Nothobranchius furzeri: one gene and its partners. The protein of the gene in region 1 purifies or fractionates together with the protein of each later gene. This does not show direct contact. Links are inferred from orthologs where the notes say so. Each region holds a gene or a part of one and is shown on either strand. Other genes may lie near its edges.

Region 1 (5,180 bases):
TCAATGAAACAAGGTGAAACCACAAAATACCAATCCACAGATTTAAAATTGAGCAACCAAGGTGGAAAGAAGGATGACAAAGTATGAGTTAGTGCTTCATGGTTTAGGAGCTGAAGGCCAGGGAGAAGTAGTGTGTTTTCAGGCGTGATTTAAAAATGGTGATAGAGGGCACTTGCCTGACCTGGAGAGATCGTGAGTTCCAAGGTTTTGGGGCATAGAAAGAAAAAGCCCTTTCCTGCGGGTCTTCAAACGTGCCTTAGGGACGGTGAGGAGGAGCTGAGGAGGGCAACCAATGGAGAGAACGGGTGTAATATGCTGTCTTCTATCAACTCCAGCCAGGAACCTTGCTGCTGAATTCTGGCCAGAGTAGCTTTACTGGTGCCATAAAGGCAGGAGTTGGAATAATCTAGCCAAGATGTAATGAAGGCATGAATCACCGATTTAGAAGACGGGCACTCAGGATGGGCTTTAATTTAGAAATTTGTTGAGGTGGTAGAAGCAGGACTTCACTGTGCTATTGACCTGAGCCTCCATCTTCAGAACCGGGTCCATTTTTACTCCGAGGTTGGAAACAGTAGAAGTTACATTAGGAGGATGAGAGTGGTCAGGTGGCTGAGTCGCTCTAACATTATCGGGACTAAAAACAATTACTTCTGTTTTAGAGTCATTCAGATGAACACAGTCATACAGAGGTTTAGTGGAGTCAGTGGGTTTAAGCAAAACATAGATTTGGCAATTGTCTGCATGTATGAAACAGCATGCTGTTTGAGAATGGCTCCTAAAGGCAGAATGTAGAGGGAGAACAGTAATGGGCCGAGAATGGAACCTTGAGGAACCCCTTCAGGGACCGTAGACCAACTGGGATGAGTAGTCGTCCAGCCTGACCCTGAGGGTCCTGTTAGAAAAGTAAGAACTAAACCAGTCAAGAGCCAAACCTGTGATGCCAGCCCATGTGTGTAGTCTGGAGATCAAGATGTTATGATCAATCAGAATCATCTTTATTGTCAGTGCCCCAGCGTCCCGAAGCACAGAAGTATGGCTCGGCAGTACAGCCTGACCAGATACAGGCAGACCACGAGAGCTGCCATTCAAGGCGCTCATTAGATCTAAGGCTGCTGATAGATCAAGAGGTACCAGAACCACATGGAACCCTGAATCCAAAGTCAGAAAGATGTCATTAAACACATGAACATGAGCAATTTCAGTGCTATGCTGTTGTCTAAACCCAGACTGAAAAATGTGCATTACTTGATGGTAAATGTGTTAACTGTTCATGCACAGCTTTTTCAAGTACCTTTGATAAAAATGGCAATTTGGAAATTGGTCGAAGATTAGAGAAATCAGTGGGATCAAGACCAGGTTTTTTCAAAATCGGCTGAACAACAGCATGTTTGAATGCACTGGGAACTTCAGCCAAGGTCAAACTACAAAACTGTATTTTAATATGTTGAATTATTACCCAAGTAAAGTCAGACCCAAACCTGGTTGAAATCTATTACATGACACACAACTCAAAGCTGACAGATAAGTAATTTACTTCAAACATAAACAGGGTAAAAATCTGCTGGATCTAATGTTGAATATGCTGAGCAAGCAACCTGTAATGTGGCAACTGAGTGCTTTTTACCACAATAGTTTTCCCACTGACAGATCAGTCAGGTACAATTTTGAATTATTTGGGGGTTTGCACATATGAAACAACATGCCTATCTGCAGTGACTTTGCAAATTTAAAAATTCGAATAGATTTAAATGGCTGGGCCCTGTTAAAATTAAACATTATTTTATTTGTGCTGATCTTTGGTGTTTAGTCATTTGCTACATTCCTCTCATTAAGAGGGGGAACATTGCCCCCTGGTGGAGCTAATCTGCACCTACGGGGATTTACGTCTCAGTAAAGTAGACGTGGCAGTGACGTCAATTCCGGAAATGACCCGGATCGGAACTTTAACTAAAACGGTCGGTTAGTTCTTACCAGAACATCGAGTATATTCGATAAAAATGGTGTGATGCCGACTCAAGTAAGTGAAACGAATTGAAATATGAATAATCTTCATGTTTTGAGTTTAGAGCGCAATAAAGTTCGGTTTTAATGGTGACGGAACCGGATGAAAAGCCTGTAGCGTTCTTTAGCAGATGTTAGCCGGTGGTTAGCCGGTGAGGCCGAGATCAGCTGTGCGTCGTGATGGTTCTCGAAGACTTTGGGGGTAATAATTATTACCTAATGGTATTTATATTTTGCTCTCACGTGGGAATGTTTGTGAATTGTGGTCTTTGTCATTTACCGCATTGTTGCTGCGATTTAATTGTTTTCGTAGTCGGGGCTAACGGTACCGAATAGGTATTTTTGATTAGTCTTTTCATTAAGCTGTTCACCAAAGATCCTTTCATTGTTTTTGCAGACATGTGTGTGCTTGTGCCGATGAAGGACACACCACCTTGGATGTGAGTCTGTCCCCCAGATCAGAAGGTCTCCTTGTTTATATTCATCAGGCAGACAGACGTTAGGAAGAGTTTTTCGGGTGTCCACAGCAGGCTGGTGACACTGAGCTGCGTCAGAATGACGTGCCGTGACCGAACCCTCGAGTTTCAGTCAGCCTGTAAATCTCTACAAGGCAGACAGGTATGTTTGAGTGAACTACGGCCACCATTAAGGTGTACACCTTAAATTCACCCTTGCTTTCATGTTGTGAGTAAATTGGAATGCATTTATAACAATGATTCTTTTGGTTTTGCTTTTTGGTGTGTGTGTGTGTGTGTGTGTGTGTGTGTGTGTGTGTGTGTGTGTGTGTGGTTTTGGTTCCACTTTTTTATCAGTCAGGTGATACTGTATACCTCCACAAATATATTAGTTACAACAAAAATGTTTAATTAATAATCTAATAATATATTTTTATTTATCCACTGTGTGGCTTCATACTGTTGGTTTAAATCTAACATTTTATTCCTCATATCCCCCCACATGTCAGAATGGAGTCCAGCCTAGTAAACCTGCTTCTCAGTCTCTCAGGCAACGCAGTGACTTCACACTCATGGCCAAGTAAGAGCTTTAGAGGTTTTCCTACATGTTTTATTCATGTGTTACAAATGTTCTTTTTACTGATACCACAGCTACTTTAGTTTTGAGTGTTCCAGATGATTCTTAACCTGTCTTAAAACTCTCAAGAGTGGTTGAGATAAAAATTATTTTTTATTCTTTTTTTTTTTTCTCCTGTCCTGTCTGGCTGTGAAGCAAACAGAATTAATGTCTGAATGCTGGAGACAAGCCTTACAGATTTTACTCTCAGGTGGAGCATCAAAGCTTCTGCTTTTAATGTCATGTCTGATACTTAAAACTTTATTGTTAATGTTTTTCGAATGCTTTGTAATTTCGACCGGACACGGAGACAGAGGTGAAAGAGAAAGGAAGATACAAAAGGGGAGGGGGGGGGGTCCACGAAAATAAACGATCAATGATGAACAAGAGTCTGCTTCTAGACCTGCAGAAAAGGGACACACACAACAATACAACAGGAGCAAGCTATCACTGTTTCAACTTGATGAAGAAATGTAAAATCAACATTGTTTTATTGAACAATCACACGATAATAAATTATAGTGCATTTAGTGCCAACCACAGCCTTAAGACATGTGTTGAACGTGCCCAAGTTCCAGTGCGGGCATCGTCTGGCCTATGCCAGCTGATGCCACCACACTACCCCACTTGCACCCACAGCCCTCAGTGTCTAAGTGCTGTTTAAAATTGGAAGTGGTCACTGGCACTCGGGATGAGGCTGAAAAATCCCCCTGCCAAATGCCGTTGAATGTGCTCACTCCCAAGGCCCTAAGTGTGTGCTTGCGTGGAATGTCGTTGGTGGAAGTAAGGTGCAAGTAAAATTGGGGGGCAGGTTGCCACAGGAATGCGGAAATGGGGTCCATACCTGCACCCCCTGACTTGTCCACCCTCCAAGGTCCTATGTGCATGATTGTGTGATGATGTGAGGGAGCAGGAGGAGAAAAATGTGTGGGGATGGGGAGGAATTGCTGGTTGGACTTAAGCCCTCCAGGGAGCCAGCTCCCCCACTGGCCCCGATAGTGGGGGAGCCAGCTCCCCCACTGGCCCCGATAGGCACCTCTGTTGCCAAAATGTCACCCAGGACATGGAGACCCCAGCCCATCTTGCCAGGGAACCAAAGGAGCAGCATCACATCCCTGCATTTGCACAACTCCCAGAATATATAAGACATTGGACATTGAGGTAAGGTTGGGTCCTCCCCCTCCTGGACATCCCCCTCCCCTGTGATGGAACAGCAGAGGAGCCGAGGTCTACCTGAGGCCCCTGAACCCGGGACAGGCACTGCCGCATGTTCCTGCCTTCTTCCCGGCAGCATACATGTCAGGACCCGACCCCCAAGGCCCCGCCCAGATCCCCACACCAGGCCGGCCACACCCTGAGCCCCCAGGCCCCCACCCAGACCTGCTCAGGGGCAATGCAGCTGCCAGGCAGCGACCCATGGCCTCCGCCAAGACCCCCAAGGGACCCCACTCACAACCGCCAGTAGTCCACCCCCCGAGGTTTTATTCTAACACGTGTTAATGAAGCAGAACCCAGTGTTTCCCTTACACAGGCATAGGTGGCGGCCCGCCACGGCTGAAATCCCAGCGCCACGCCTACAAGATCCCAAGTTTAATTGATTTTTTTTTTCTTTGTGCCATTTCCCGAAGAAGCAGCGGGAACTACTCTGTTGTTGCTTGTGATGAAAGCCGGCAGGCAGCAAGGAGGAGGAGGCAGGGCAGGGTGGTTACAGATAGGGCGGATAAAGCATTTTTGATGAATACGAGCATGAAACGAGTAAAACTCATAAATATCTGTAATCGTGCTGAAAGAAAATACCCATTGGGTAACTGTCTTCATGCTCCGTGATTGGCCAGTCACATAGAGCGTCCGCCCCTCCCTACACACAAAACTCTGCAGCCGGGAGCTCAGTCCGGCCCAGGCATCCACGCACACACACAGACAGTAACGGATCTCTCTGTGATTGCTTCACTGTTGCTCACGTTTCTTCAGTACTCCCTAGGTTTTCTTCAGCTCGCCTCTTTTTCGGTTGAATATTTAAAGTTACCTTTTCCGTAACATACGTGGTGCATTTGACAAGACAGAGCTGAAAACGGCTCATGCTGCGTCGGTCACTGCCTCATCTC
Region 2 (4,912 bases), on another chromosome or scaffold:
ACTAATGGATGAATAAAATAAAATAAAAAAAATAGAAATGATTAAAGCAGCTACATAAGTAAATGTGAACTAGGGCACTCCTGCATTAAAGGTCACATCTGTGCACAGCTGGACTGGCTCTAAAAACAAAGAACACAGTTAAGATTTTTTTTGTGCAACACAAAATGCTATTTTTTACAAGTCTGCTGTTCCTGCTTTTGTGAAAATGTTCTGTATCTTAAATACTTCGATGCATTTGAAAAAACACCAGTACAGTTTACAGGACAAACAGTCTTTTTTTTTTTTTTTACCAAATTCGATGAAGGAGTATGGACGTGAGACCGTGGGAACTTTCTTTCCATGCTGCTCATGGAACTCTGCCTGCAGATCCTCCAGGTAAGCAAAGGCGTGCTTCTTGGAGAAGCCGGCGTCACACAGCACGAGGTAGCAAACGCCTTTCTCTATAAAGTAACTATATCAAGAAAGAAAAGTGTAGTTCAACAAAAGGGCTTAATGAACAACATGCGTTCAGAACCCGTAGAGAAGATTGTTTTTTAACACTCACTGAAACGTGACGGGCCCGGCCTCTAAAGTGCAGCGTGTGGGACTCTGCTCGTTGAGTTTTCTGAAGAGCTGCTTAGCTTGATTCTGATACTGCTGAAGATCTCGACCCAACTAAATACACCCAAAAAACAACAAACTATTACCAAACAATAACAATTAAATCAAATTAGAAAGAGTTTAAACAGGGCAACAACGTGGCAAGACTAATACACAAGTCAATGTGGTACTTTAAGATCATTTTGACAAGCTTGAGCGTCTGAAACAAGACAGATCAAATAGAAAAGCTCACATTTCACCCTGCTTTTGCTCATTCAGGTTAATTTCTTGCCATTTTAACGTGGCAAAAATGAATTTGTTTGTATAAAACAGACTCCATAAAGCCTCTGCAGTGAGATGCTGATGCTTTATCAAAAGATTGTAAAAACAACAATTCTCACATTACAGTATCACACACACACGTACGCATGCACGCACACACACACACACACACACACACACACACACACACACACACACACACACACACACACACACACACACAACAAACCTTTTCACTTTCCTTTATGAAAGCAACACAGACGAGAGGAGAAAAAGGTTAGACTCCTGTTAACATTAGCGTAGCAACAACTAGTTTTAAACAAGAACATTTATGGGTTTTTTTTGTTCATTTCATGACATGAAGTCATTTAAGACTTCATACCAGCAGCCACACGTCTAATGGGCCATTCCCATCTGTACCGGGTCAGCCCGGGCCGGGTAGCGTAGGTTGTTTACATATCTGGGTGGTCTGGTATTTTTCCGGGCCAACCAAGGCTCATTCTCAGCCCTCTTCTCGAGGGGGTCTGCTTCAGGCCGACCAGGGCCAACACACCCACTGCTGACAGCAAATTCACACCTTCCATTAGAGCAAGCCTCTGATTGGTGGGTAGAATCAGCCCACATGGGTTTAAGACAAGGATGTGTGGAATCAACCGGGCCAGGCTGGGGCCGACTGGGGCTACCCGGCCCGGGCCGACCCGGTACAGATGGGAATGGCCCATAACTGGTCCGCCTTCACTTTGTGAATAATACTGACCTCTGCAGACTGAAACTGGTAAAGATTTTAGAAATATGAGCAATTTTGATGAGAGTAGAATCAATACAAATTATAAATATGGATTCAGAAAGAACAAAAAATTAAAAGTCTGGGCTCTTTCTCTTTCATGTTCCTCTTATTATTCTGTAGCCTTAATTCACTGATGTTAATGAGATGGCAAGACACATCATTCTATGTCAGTCCTGGTCTAGAGGCATTCGTCGGAAGCTTTTAGTGTCTAATTTGAAAAGTAACAGGCTCTTACTGAAGAAAACATAGAAACTATTTTAACCACATTAATAATTTATAGTATGATTCCAACGAGCCAGAACAACTGATCTAGATCAATAGTTTTGGGGTCTTTTTAAAGTTTGGCTTTGGCTACTATTTTCAGTCCTGACCATGACAGGAAAATGCACCAAAAAGTTACAAGGTCATTGAACAAGAAGAAGATAAAACAAGAAGTGTACGGCTTAAAAACAAACAAACACAAAATCTATCAATGATATATAGCATCTAAATGTTATATCTGTAGAGTTTTCTGTTTGCATCTCTTTGGGGTCACATTTATGGTGTAATGATACAATTTTAAACATTAAACTGTAATATTTGGGCCTTTTTAAAATGAGAAAATATAATGTTCTTACGTCAGGCCAAAGAGAAGAAAGCTACGGCTCACCCCTTTGGCTGAGAAGCCTTGAGTCATGGTTCAGAGTAAAGTGGTCCTGGATTCAAAAAGATTTATTATAAAGCAGCCAAACACCCACAGAAAGCCTGAAACATTTTAATTAAATTAAAGTCTGTCTCGTTGGAAGAAATATAAAAGAAATAAGAGATAACTCAAGATTTATGAACAAAAAATTTTAATTTATGAACCTATAATTTTTTTAATGCACGTTTTGTAACTGGTTTGGGATGCCTCCTGGACGCCTCCCTGGAGCTCCCTGGTTGGGATGCTGCCCCCGCGACCCGGACCCGGATAAGCGGAGGAAGACGACGACGACGTTTTGTAACTGAGAAGTGAGAACTATGCAAAACTCTGCTCACAGAGAAGCAGGATAAATGAGTTTAGATTTGAGCTTCCTAAAGGATGTTGAAAATGGTAAAGTCAGGCTCTGGTAGTCAGGTTTAAACTCAAAGCCGACTCTGGTGAATGTTGTTGCTAAAACCTGCCTGGTGAGAACTAGACAGGCCTGCTAAACTAAGCCTTTATTAGAAGATCAAGTCCTTTAAATCCATCCAGCTGTTATTGGTTAAACGTCTCCTAACGCAGGCACGTGCCTAGTTAAATCGTGCTCTGACTAGGACACTATCGTCAGACGTGTCACTAAGACATTAGTAACCCAGATGTGTTATCTCTAGCAGCCCGACGCCAGTCTCCAGAGGCTAAAAGGTTAAATGTGAACCTGCTCGTCCTCCTGCATTGAAGCGGCCAGCGGCAGCCCGTCTGCCAGCCGAGCGATCATCGTCAGCAGCACCATCTCTCCGGAATGTCCTGCTGTTCCTCCACGACCCGAGACAACCTCTCAGCTAGCTGGAGCCGCTGTTTGTTTGACAGGCAGTAAAGTGACAACACAACAGGAGCAACGCGCTGAGCTGGCCGGAAACTCTACAGCTTTGCGTGTAACACTCTAATACCGTCGTGCGCTCGCTGCACGGAACTGATATGCTCAATTATTGTTCCGGGGAAGGTGAAATTCCCAGAACACCTGACTTGAAGCTCAAAAGCTATTTTAAATATATTTTTATTTCAATGAGCCAGATTTTTTTTCTTAAGCTGCATCTTTTTGATATTTTTTGATATTATAAAACAATCTATGAGAAGGGGAAACTTAGAAAATAACTATAGTTAAACCTGGGGATTTTTTTTTTGTTAGCAGTTTATTACAGATACACTTTATTCTGCATTTATGAGAAATAATTATTTGGTAAGTTTGTTGGCCAACAGCAAATGATGAAGGAGGCCCACAGCTCTAATGGGTCCTTTCAGACACTATTGAATATTTTTAGGCCTGACATGTCTTTTTTGAGGCGGGGTTCTCTTTCTACATCTTTGACACTAATTGCACTATCATGGTCCGACATGACTCGGCAGAAAAAGAAGCCAAAAGCTGGAAGGCCACCAGGAATCCTGCAACAGTTGATCAGAAGCACTTAAAACGTTACAAAAAGCATGACTACTTGGAAGTAAATTTTAACTGAGTTAAGAGTGGAAACTTTTGCATTAAATAACTAATCTATCTCCCCCTTAAGCTAGGAAAAGAAACCAGTCATCCCAGAGAAAGTATTACGTGATGGTAAACTTCAATTCATTTCAATTCAAGTTTATTTATGTAGCAGTAAATCATGACAAGAGTAATGTCAAGGCACTTCACACAGTAAACATTCCAATATAGTTCAGTTCCTTAAGTCAATTAGTAAAAAGTTTCCTATATAAGGAACCCAGCAAATTGCATCAAGTCACTGACTAGTGTCAGTGACTTTACAGCAATCCTCATACTAAGCAAGCATTTAGCGACAGTGGAGAAGAAAACTCCCTTTTAACAGGAAGAAACCTCCAGAGGATCCTGGCTCAGTATAAGCAGCCATCCACCACGACTCACTGGGGATCGAGAAGACAGAGCAGACACACACACACACACACACACACACACACACACACACACACACACACACACACACACACACACACACACACACACACACACACACACACACACACACACACACACACACACACACAACATAAATACCAAGTAATGTTTCTATAGTTACATTGTGATTTCTTAGTAAATATTATATTTGGTGAGAGAACTTTATTGTATTTATCCTAGTGGATCTATAATTAAACGGATAAACTAGTAGTAGTACATCCAACATCAAGGAAAGCAAAAAGTTATTATCAGGAGAGGGAGAATGTTTTAGTGGTTAGCAGCAGTGTGCTAGATGATGGCCCCCTCCATGAGGCCACCACAGCTCAGCAGAACATCATTGTAGCTTCTTCTGGGGAGAAAAACACTTGGAGAGAAAATAAAGTTAACAGCTGAAATAGCAGGAAATAATACAGTTAAAGAGCAAACTGTAGAAGAAAGTAGTCGAGTGTGGAAAGTGGTCAGTGTATCCTCCAGCAGTCTAAGCCTATAGCAGCATAACTACAGAGATACCTCTGGATAACCTAGCCTTTTAGATGGAGGCATGTTGGAGGCAGGGCAGGGGAGAGCCACACTTCACCTCCCTCTACTCCTCTACTCCCCCACTTGTCCAGATTCACATGTCCTGCTAATCCGAAAACTA
Region 3 (4,118 bases), on another chromosome or scaffold:
AGGAGCGTGAGTTTGGTCCGCATAGCCGGTAGTAAGTCGGACCTGTTCCCAGTGAGGGTTGGTCTCCGCCAGGGCTGCCCTTTGTCACCGGTTCTGTTCATCACTTTTATGGACAGAATTTCTAGACGCAGCCGTGGTGTGGAGTGTGTCGAGTTTGGTGGCAGGAGAATCTCGTCCCTGCTTTTTGCGGATGATGTGGTCCTCCTAGCTTCATCCAGCTCTGACCTTCAGCTCTTGCTGGGTAGGTTCGCGGCCGAATGTGAAGCGGCTGGGATGAGGATCAGCACCTCCAAATCTGAGACCATGGTTCTCGACCGGAAAAGGGTGGCTTGCCACCTCCGGGTCGGGGGAGAGGTCCTACCTCAAGTGGAGGAGTTTAAGTATCTCGGGGTCTTGTTCACGAGTGAGGGTAGGAGGGATCGGGAGATCGACAGGCGGATTGGTTCGGCGTCTGCAGTGATGCGGACGCTGAGCCGATCTGTCGTGGGGAAGAGGGAGCTGAGCCAGAAAGCCAGGCTCTCGATTTACCGGTCGATCTACGTCCCAATCCTCACCTATGGTCATGAGCTTTGGGTAATGACCGAAAGAACGAGATCGCGGATACAAGCGGCCGAAATGAGTTTCCTCCGTAGGGTGGCCGGGCTCAGCCTTAGAGATAGGGTGAGGAGCTCGGACATTCGGGAGGGACTCGGAGTAGAACCGCTGCTCCTCCGGATCGAAAGGAGCCAGTTGAGGTGGTTTGGGCATCTGGTCAGGATGCCTCCTGGACGCCTCCCCGGGGAGGTGTTTCGGGCATGTCCTGCCGGCAGAAGGCCCCCGGGTCGACCCAGGACACGTTGGAGAGGTTACATCTCCAATCTGGTTCGGGAACGCCTTGGGGTCTTGCCGGAGGAGCTGGTGGACAAGGCCGGGGAGAGGACGGCCTGGAGCTCCCTAATTGGGATGCTGCCCCCGCGACCCGGACCCGGATAAGCGGAGGAAGACGAAGACGAAGGTATGCTATTCTAAAATTTTGTTTAAGTTCAAAGGGTTTGGGGGGCTGGGCTTATAAGCGTATGCTTCTGCCTGCACCCATTCTTAGCATTGTGTAAGTTGTGTGTTTGCTTGTAAACCTGCACATGTTTCTTTGTTATACTATCATGTTGTACTATTGATTTTAATTTCTCATTAAACTTCTCAAACAACCATTTTAGTTTCCAATATCATCTTGTTTTATTTTCATTTATTAGCTCTCCTTTTGCCTCCGTGTTTTGCCTCCTTACTCCTCAGTTACTCTTGAATACAAGCTTATTGCTCTTTTCTTCTGGCGTAATTAAAAAGCAGAGGAAATAGAATCCAATCCAATCCAATCCAATTTTATTTATAAAGCGCATTCACAAGGCATTACAACCAGACAAGGCGCTGTACACTAAAAATGTTGGTTAATTAAACAGGCGTTATATAAACATGTCGAACACAGATAAAAGATAAAAAGGAAATATAACAAAATTCCCAAAAATAACAGCTAAAAATCAGTAAGACACAGGGTGAAGTAAAAATAGGAAAAAACATTTTACAAAGAACCTCAATAATACGGAAGTCGATAATTGTGGAGTCAGTTTATAAACAGTGCAGATGTCAGTGAGGTTCAGTGAGAATGTCACAGTGTAACAAAAGCAGTGGTACAGATGACACTTTAAGAATAACTTTCTCTTCCTTACAAATGTCGAATATTTTAGTGGCTTTATACAAAGTTTATTTTACAGGAGAGAGACGGTATAAGGTCCTTTGAGTTGCAGTGTCCTCATAACGCCGTTGACCGGTGACGATTGTTCCTCGTCGGCCACCGTATGATGACGTGGAATTTTCTTCTGCTCACTTTCCGGTTTGTTCAGCCTCGTTCGTTTTCTCTAACGTTTTCATCAACATACCGGACAGTTTTTGGTTCTGTAGGTAAAGATGAGGCGCGCCGGACTCGGTAAGAACCTGTTACACTTACGGTTTTTAGGTTTATGACGGGCTAATTTGCTAGCAAGTGCTAGCTAATGTTGTCTGACGTTAACAAGCTAGTTTCCTCCGATAAACATTTCTACTAACCTAACGGGACAGCAACGGTAAAAATAAATGTTAAGTTTTTTTTTTTCTTTTCTCCCAGGTGAAGGCGGCCCTGGTCATTATGCAGCCAGTGGTTATAGTGTGTATGAGGAGGAGAACGAGCACCTTCAGGAGGGGCTGAGAGCTAAAGTCAGCGCCCTGAAAAGTGTAAATGATAACTGCTGCATTAAAACTATTAAATTGTTGTTTATTAATATTTATTAGTAATAATCTGGTACTTTTTGCTCACAGCTGACCATCGACATTGGAACAGAAGTGAAATGCCAGAATAAAATGCTTGATGAAATGGTGAGTTTAGACGTTCAGAAAATGACTTTGTTTATTATGAACATATTTCATGACAGCTGTGGTGTTTTCCTCTGGAGTATTATGCATGACTCATTGAAACTAGGTTAGGGCTAATTTCCTATCTTAAATGGTTGATTAAATCAGTTGGGCCATCTTCACCCATCTTACTGTTTCTGTGCTTTTAACCTGCTGGATTTGTGATTTTTTCCCAATCCCTTTCCCTTTTAAGGACACAGACTTTGACTCGACGGGGGGACTGCTGGGAGCCACCATCGGTAGAGTGAAGCAGCTCTCCAGAGGCAGTCAGACCAAACTGCTGTGCTACATGCTTCTCTTCTGTTTTTTTGTCTTCTTCGTCGTGTACTGGCTTATGATCCTGAGGTGATAGACGTACCCTTTTGGACTTGGACCTTGTGACCCACATTCCCAGTCTGTTGGATCTTGAAACTAGGCCAACACAGTAACTGTGATTATGTAAGCCAGGGATTTTGTAAACGAGACGTGGCTTCATGTGCTGCATCAGAGCATTTGGGTCTGTCTGGGTTGGAGCGCCGGGACTAAAAAACTAAATCCAAATGATCAAAAAGGCAGAGGTGATTCGTAACCATGAAGCAATGTCTGTATTTGTGCGTTCCCTATAACCACCTTTAGTAAGATTAAGCAGATTTAACCTGTGACAGATCACCATGCTGTAGGGGAACGTACAGATGAAGCTCAATATATGGTTGAATTAAAATTAAGGCATTGCCCAATGATAAGTAGATCTTGTTAACAGCAGGAAACATTTCAGTTTCAACTTTGTGGTAAACACTTATGTAAATGAAGACCTTTTATGTTATAAATAGTCCAGGACAGATTTGTTTTATGATATGTAGTCTTTAAATAAAACCAGCCACACAAACAGTGATTGCTTCATTCACATAATTTGTTTTATTTTCTAAAAAAATATGGTTATTTTTCTAAAATGGATTATTAACTACTGAACAAAACTAACAAAAAATGCTTAGATTCATCTGAATAGCAAACATGATCAAAATCAAAATTCTAAGTTCACACATGGCTGAATTGCACTTCATTAGGCTTTTTTTCTTTTAAATGATCAGTATGCTTTTAATGATGATTATGACATAACAGGAGCAGCTGGTGGGCGTTACTTCTTGGGAAGAGTATCCATGTATTTGCAGATGATCCCCAGCATCACCTCGTCAGCACCTGCACCGATCGATATTAACCTGGAGTCCCTGCAGAGAAGAAAAGCCTTTTATTTATGTCACACTTAAACAAGCTGCAGGCAGCAGCTGGATCGTTGTCATAGTGATTAGTACAAAGTTGATTGTGCTGAGTCATGGTTACAGGGGAAAATAAGATGTTCAATTATGTTTACTCATTCGTTTAGAAACACTGGCTTTTTAGTCAGACTAATTTTGATTCTATAGTATAAAAAGATGTTTTGATCTAGAAGCTTAAATAATAAGTGACTGTAGCTCTTGACGGTCGTTTCAGTCCCACCTGTAGAACCTGCTGACCAGCACATCGCTGGTGTAGCCCATCCCTCCCCAGAACTGCAGACAGCTGTCGCTCAGCTCTCTCGCCAGGCGCCCAGCCTTCAGTTTGGCCATGGATGCTAGCTTGGTGACATCGTTCCCTTTAATGTACATCGCTGCCGAAAAATCAGGAGAAGAAACAAAGGTTGAAGAAAACAAGAGAAAGATGGAGGGACATGAAAGAGATGCAGG
Region 4 (3,077 bases), on another chromosome or scaffold:
AGAAAACTCTAAATTAGTCAAAAACGGCAAATTACACCCTGGAGCCCAGAGGGTTGATCTCTAGGTGGTGTGTTTCACATCCTGTCAGACGTCAACATCCAGAGCCTGTGGCTTTAAGAAGTAGGCTTTAGCGGTTTTCTCTGGATAATTCTGAATCCTAATCTCTGCACTGTTTCACGTATAAACTCTCTGCAGCACAACACCATGGAAAGTCTGTTGGAAAGAGGAGAGAAACTGGATGACCTGGTTGCGAAGTCAGAGCACCTGGGAAATCAGTCCAAAGCCTTCTACAAGACCGTAAGTCCCGTCGGCTCGTCTCGTTTCACGTCCAACTCTGACCTCGTCTGCTTCTGTTTTAAAACTCTGGTTTTTCTGTCGACCCTTCAGGCACGGAAACAGAACTCGTGCTGTGAAATCATGTGATGCTGCTGCCTCGTCCTCGTGGGGACAACTCTCTGCCTTTCTGCTTTTCCTACAACCCCCATCATGCACCGGCTCTCCACCGGGACGGAGCGCCGGGATGAGAGCAGAACGGGGTGGCCAGTTTCAGCGGGGTGACTGATGGGGGCTGCAGGAGTGATGGGGTTTGGTCGGGGGAAGGAGTGAACGTCTGTGTGCTGTTTCTTACCAACTGAGGACATTATAGCGTGACGTTATGTGCTGGTGATGTCATCGACACCTTTTAAACCCCTTTGATGTTATTCAGATCGAATCAAAAGCTAATCGCTTGATCTCTTAAAACACTGAGCGAGTATTAACCACACTTGTGCTTTCTGCTTCATGATAACTGACAATCTGGTGACGTCGCCGTTGAACTTTTGGAAACTGGTTTTCTCCTTACCCCGTTTGCCCACTAGGGGGCTCTGTTTATTTACATCACCGCTCTAATGAAGCCTCGGTGTTTAACGCGGTCTTCTAAACAACTTGGATGTTTGACATCAGACTTTTACATATTTTAATTAACATTGAGCTGCTCTGCATTTACTTACACAACTGCTTTGTTTTCTTTTTCGGTCTATTTAATGATGTTAGATGAAGTCTTCAACATTCCTGTTTGGATGAGTCTGTGATAAGCTGATAATGTGGACAATTAGCTGTAAAATGTTTGGAAACTCCCAGTTTTGTTTGTCCTCGTTTGCAAAGAGTTCCTGAAACTTCTGATAAGAACTCACTTAAAGCTGCTGTCCTGGATTTTGTTCTTGTACCTCTAAATCCAAGAAGCACTTCACCCTTAAAAACGGAGGTCATTCTGGGAGGTCTAGGTGCTCGTTTCATTTTCTGCACTCTAGTCATCTTGAATGGGTATGATAATTAAAAATGGGACAGGAAGTACTCAGTAATAGCACATCTGGCTTTTACAGTCGCCCTACAGCTGCCATTCTTCATTTTCTTTACACGACTGGAGAAAACGTCATTTCAAGAGTCCGTGCCTTTGGTTGTGTGTTTTCGATGTTTCTCTGACGTGTGTGTGTGTGTGTGTGTGTATATATCGCTGATACTCTTCCAACCTCCAGCTGCACGCTGTGTTAATGCTGAGAAGATTGTGCAGTCTCTGCTTTCTGTTGTGTAAACTTTGGTGCAACGTCTGCAGACTGTTTCTTTAACATGAAGAGGAATATATATATATATATATATATATATATATATATATATATATACATACATATATATAAATTTTCATAAGTTACAAACCTTGCATGCTTTTTCTTTTGACCAACTCCAAGCTTGTCCAGGGTTGATTTTCACTTTTTTGTCTTTTGAAAACTTCCAACTGTATTATCAGATCTCGACTGTTGCTTGTTGCAGCTCCATGTGCAGCACATATTTTTTGAAAATAAAACCTGTAACTTACTTTCTGTAAAAACACTACTCTTGCTTAGATAAAAAGCATAAATGTCTGATGTATGGTTTCATTTTTTTTATTCGTGTGCAAAAGTCAGTTATAGTGAGCTGTTGGCTTTCTGAGATGAAGCTAATAAAGCTTTTATTTTAATTTAAAAATAATAAGATAGCTTTAATTTGAATATAACACATTTCATGCATAGTTCGATGCGCTTTCCAAGAAGGAAAAACTGAAAACAACTTTTAAAATAAACGGGACAACATAAGTTACTAATAATGCAAGATAATTAAACACATCCGTTCTTTTCATTAGGAAAACAGATTAGCTGAATAATTTGATCCAGTCCGGTGCAATCAGCGATAAACATCTGTGTTTGTGGAAAATCCGAGTTTTGAAGGAGCTCTTGAACGCAGCACAGAGGGCAGCGTGAGCGTGCAGCTGAAAGTGAGAAGGACAGTTCGGAGTTTCCGACGCGGGAAATATGTGATCGAGGATGGAAAACAGGAGCTTTGTTGTCGTTAATGAAAGTTCCAACTCACAGGTGAGGAGCTAAAGGACACTAACAAAGGATTTTCTGCCAAAAGAAGCGCGAATCTTTGGGGAATCCGCGTTAATTCACCTTTAAAACCTAAACATGACGTCACTGAAGTTATTTAAAATTTCACGGTTAAAACTGAACTAAACATTTAATAAATACGTGTCTAGCATAGTATTTGTATTCTTTGCATGCTTGTCTTATCTTTTCCACGGTCGCGACGCTGATTTTCCTGCTGTGGACTTCCTGCAACAAGTTTCCATTTGCAGCCCGACTTGATTAAGCCCAAACTCCGTCTTATCTCAGGATTTATCTTTGGTTTAATATTCTAGTTGATAGAAGTGACTGGTTTCAAACTGACATCCTTAATGAGGAGTGATGTTTTTTACTTTTCAGGTGGTTCTCGGAGAGCAGCTTGTGCACCAACAGAGCAATGGTGAGCTACATCATTTGTTCTTTGTGATTCTTAGAAATCAATTCAGGCTCATCAGGGTGGAAAGTGCAAACTATCTCTGTGGGTCTTAATGATTTAACATCTTGTGGTTCACAGACCTGCAGCAAATAAAAAGGCTTTAGGTTAAAGTCTTTGTTGTGGAGCAAAGTCCATTATTCCCACAGCCAGTGTGCGGAGATCCCATAAATACAACTTATTTAATGTGACCTATGAGAAAATAAAAGATATTAACATTTTTCTGTGTT

What was found.
Region 2: the proteins of stx5a (region 1) and sec22bb purify together in Homo sapiens (co-immunoprecipitation; 4 studies listed by BioGRID and IntAct, counting the BioPlex papers as one, with this or other methods). This does not show direct contact. The link is inferred for Nothobranchius furzeri from reciprocal best matches to the Homo sapiens genes STX5 and SEC22B.
Region 3: the proteins of stx5a (region 1) and bet1 purify together in Homo sapiens (affinity purification with mass spectrometry; 3 studies listed by BioGRID and IntAct, with this or other methods). This does not show direct contact. The link is inferred for Nothobranchius furzeri from reciprocal best matches to the Homo sapiens genes STX5 and BET1.
Region 4: the proteins of stx5a (region 1) and ykt6 purify together in Homo sapiens (affinity purification with mass spectrometry; 3 studies listed by BioGRID and IntAct, with this or other methods). This does not show direct contact. The link is inferred for Nothobranchius furzeri from reciprocal best matches to the Homo sapiens genes STX5 and YKT6.

The regions. Positions count from the first base shown.
Region 1 is NC_091741.1:87,969,443-87,974,622, forward strand, and holds the start of stx5a (syntaxin-5a), read left to right. Parts: upstream 1-1,901; 5' UTR 1,902-2,020; intron 2,021-2,401; 5' UTR 2,402-2,559; coding exon 2,560-2,622; intron 2,623-2,968; coding exon 2,969-3,039; intron 3,040-5,180. UniProt on the Homo sapiens protein: Mediates endoplasmic reticulum to Golgi transport.
Region 2 is NC_091748.1:52,857,502-52,862,413, forward strand, and holds the start of sec22bb (vesicle-trafficking protein SEC22b-B), read right to left. Parts: upstream 3,236-4,912; 5' UTR 3,100-3,235; coding exon 3,025-3,099; intron 655-3,024; coding exon 545-654; intron 452-544; coding exon 291-451; intron 1-290. UniProt on the Homo sapiens protein: SNARE involved in targeting and fusion of ER-derived transport vesicles with the Golgi complex as well as Golgi-derived retrograde transport vesicles with the ER.
Region 3 is NC_091751.1:27,117,503-27,121,620, forward strand, and holds bet1 (BET1 homolog), read left to right. Parts: upstream 1-1,800; 5' UTR 1,801-1,938; coding exon 1,939-1,957; intron 1,958-2,134; coding exon 2,135-2,241; intron 2,242-2,325; coding exon 2,326-2,382; intron 2,383-2,611; coding exon 2,612-2,767; 3' UTR 2,768-3,285; downstream 3,286-4,118. Other genes in the region: zgc:85777 (probable acyl-CoA dehydrogenase 6), read right to left, coding at 3,533-3,623, 3,892-4,042. UniProt on the Homo sapiens protein: Required for vesicular transport from the ER to the Golgi complex. Functions as a SNARE involved in the docking process of ER-derived vesicles with the cis-Golgi membrane.
Region 4 is NC_091757.1:56,085,473-56,088,549, reverse strand, and holds the end of ykt6 (synaptobrevin homolog YKT6), read left to right. Parts: intron 1-195; coding exon 196-297; intron 298-387; coding exon 388-423; 3' UTR 424-1,898; downstream 1,899-3,077. Other genes in the region: uncharacterized protein, read left to right, coding at 2,337-2,384, 2,775-2,814. UniProt on the Homo sapiens protein: Vesicular soluble NSF attachment protein receptor (v-SNARE) mediating vesicle docking and fusion to a specific acceptor cellular compartment. Functions in endoplasmic reticulum to Golgi transport; as part of a SNARE complex composed of GOSR1, GOSR2 and STX5.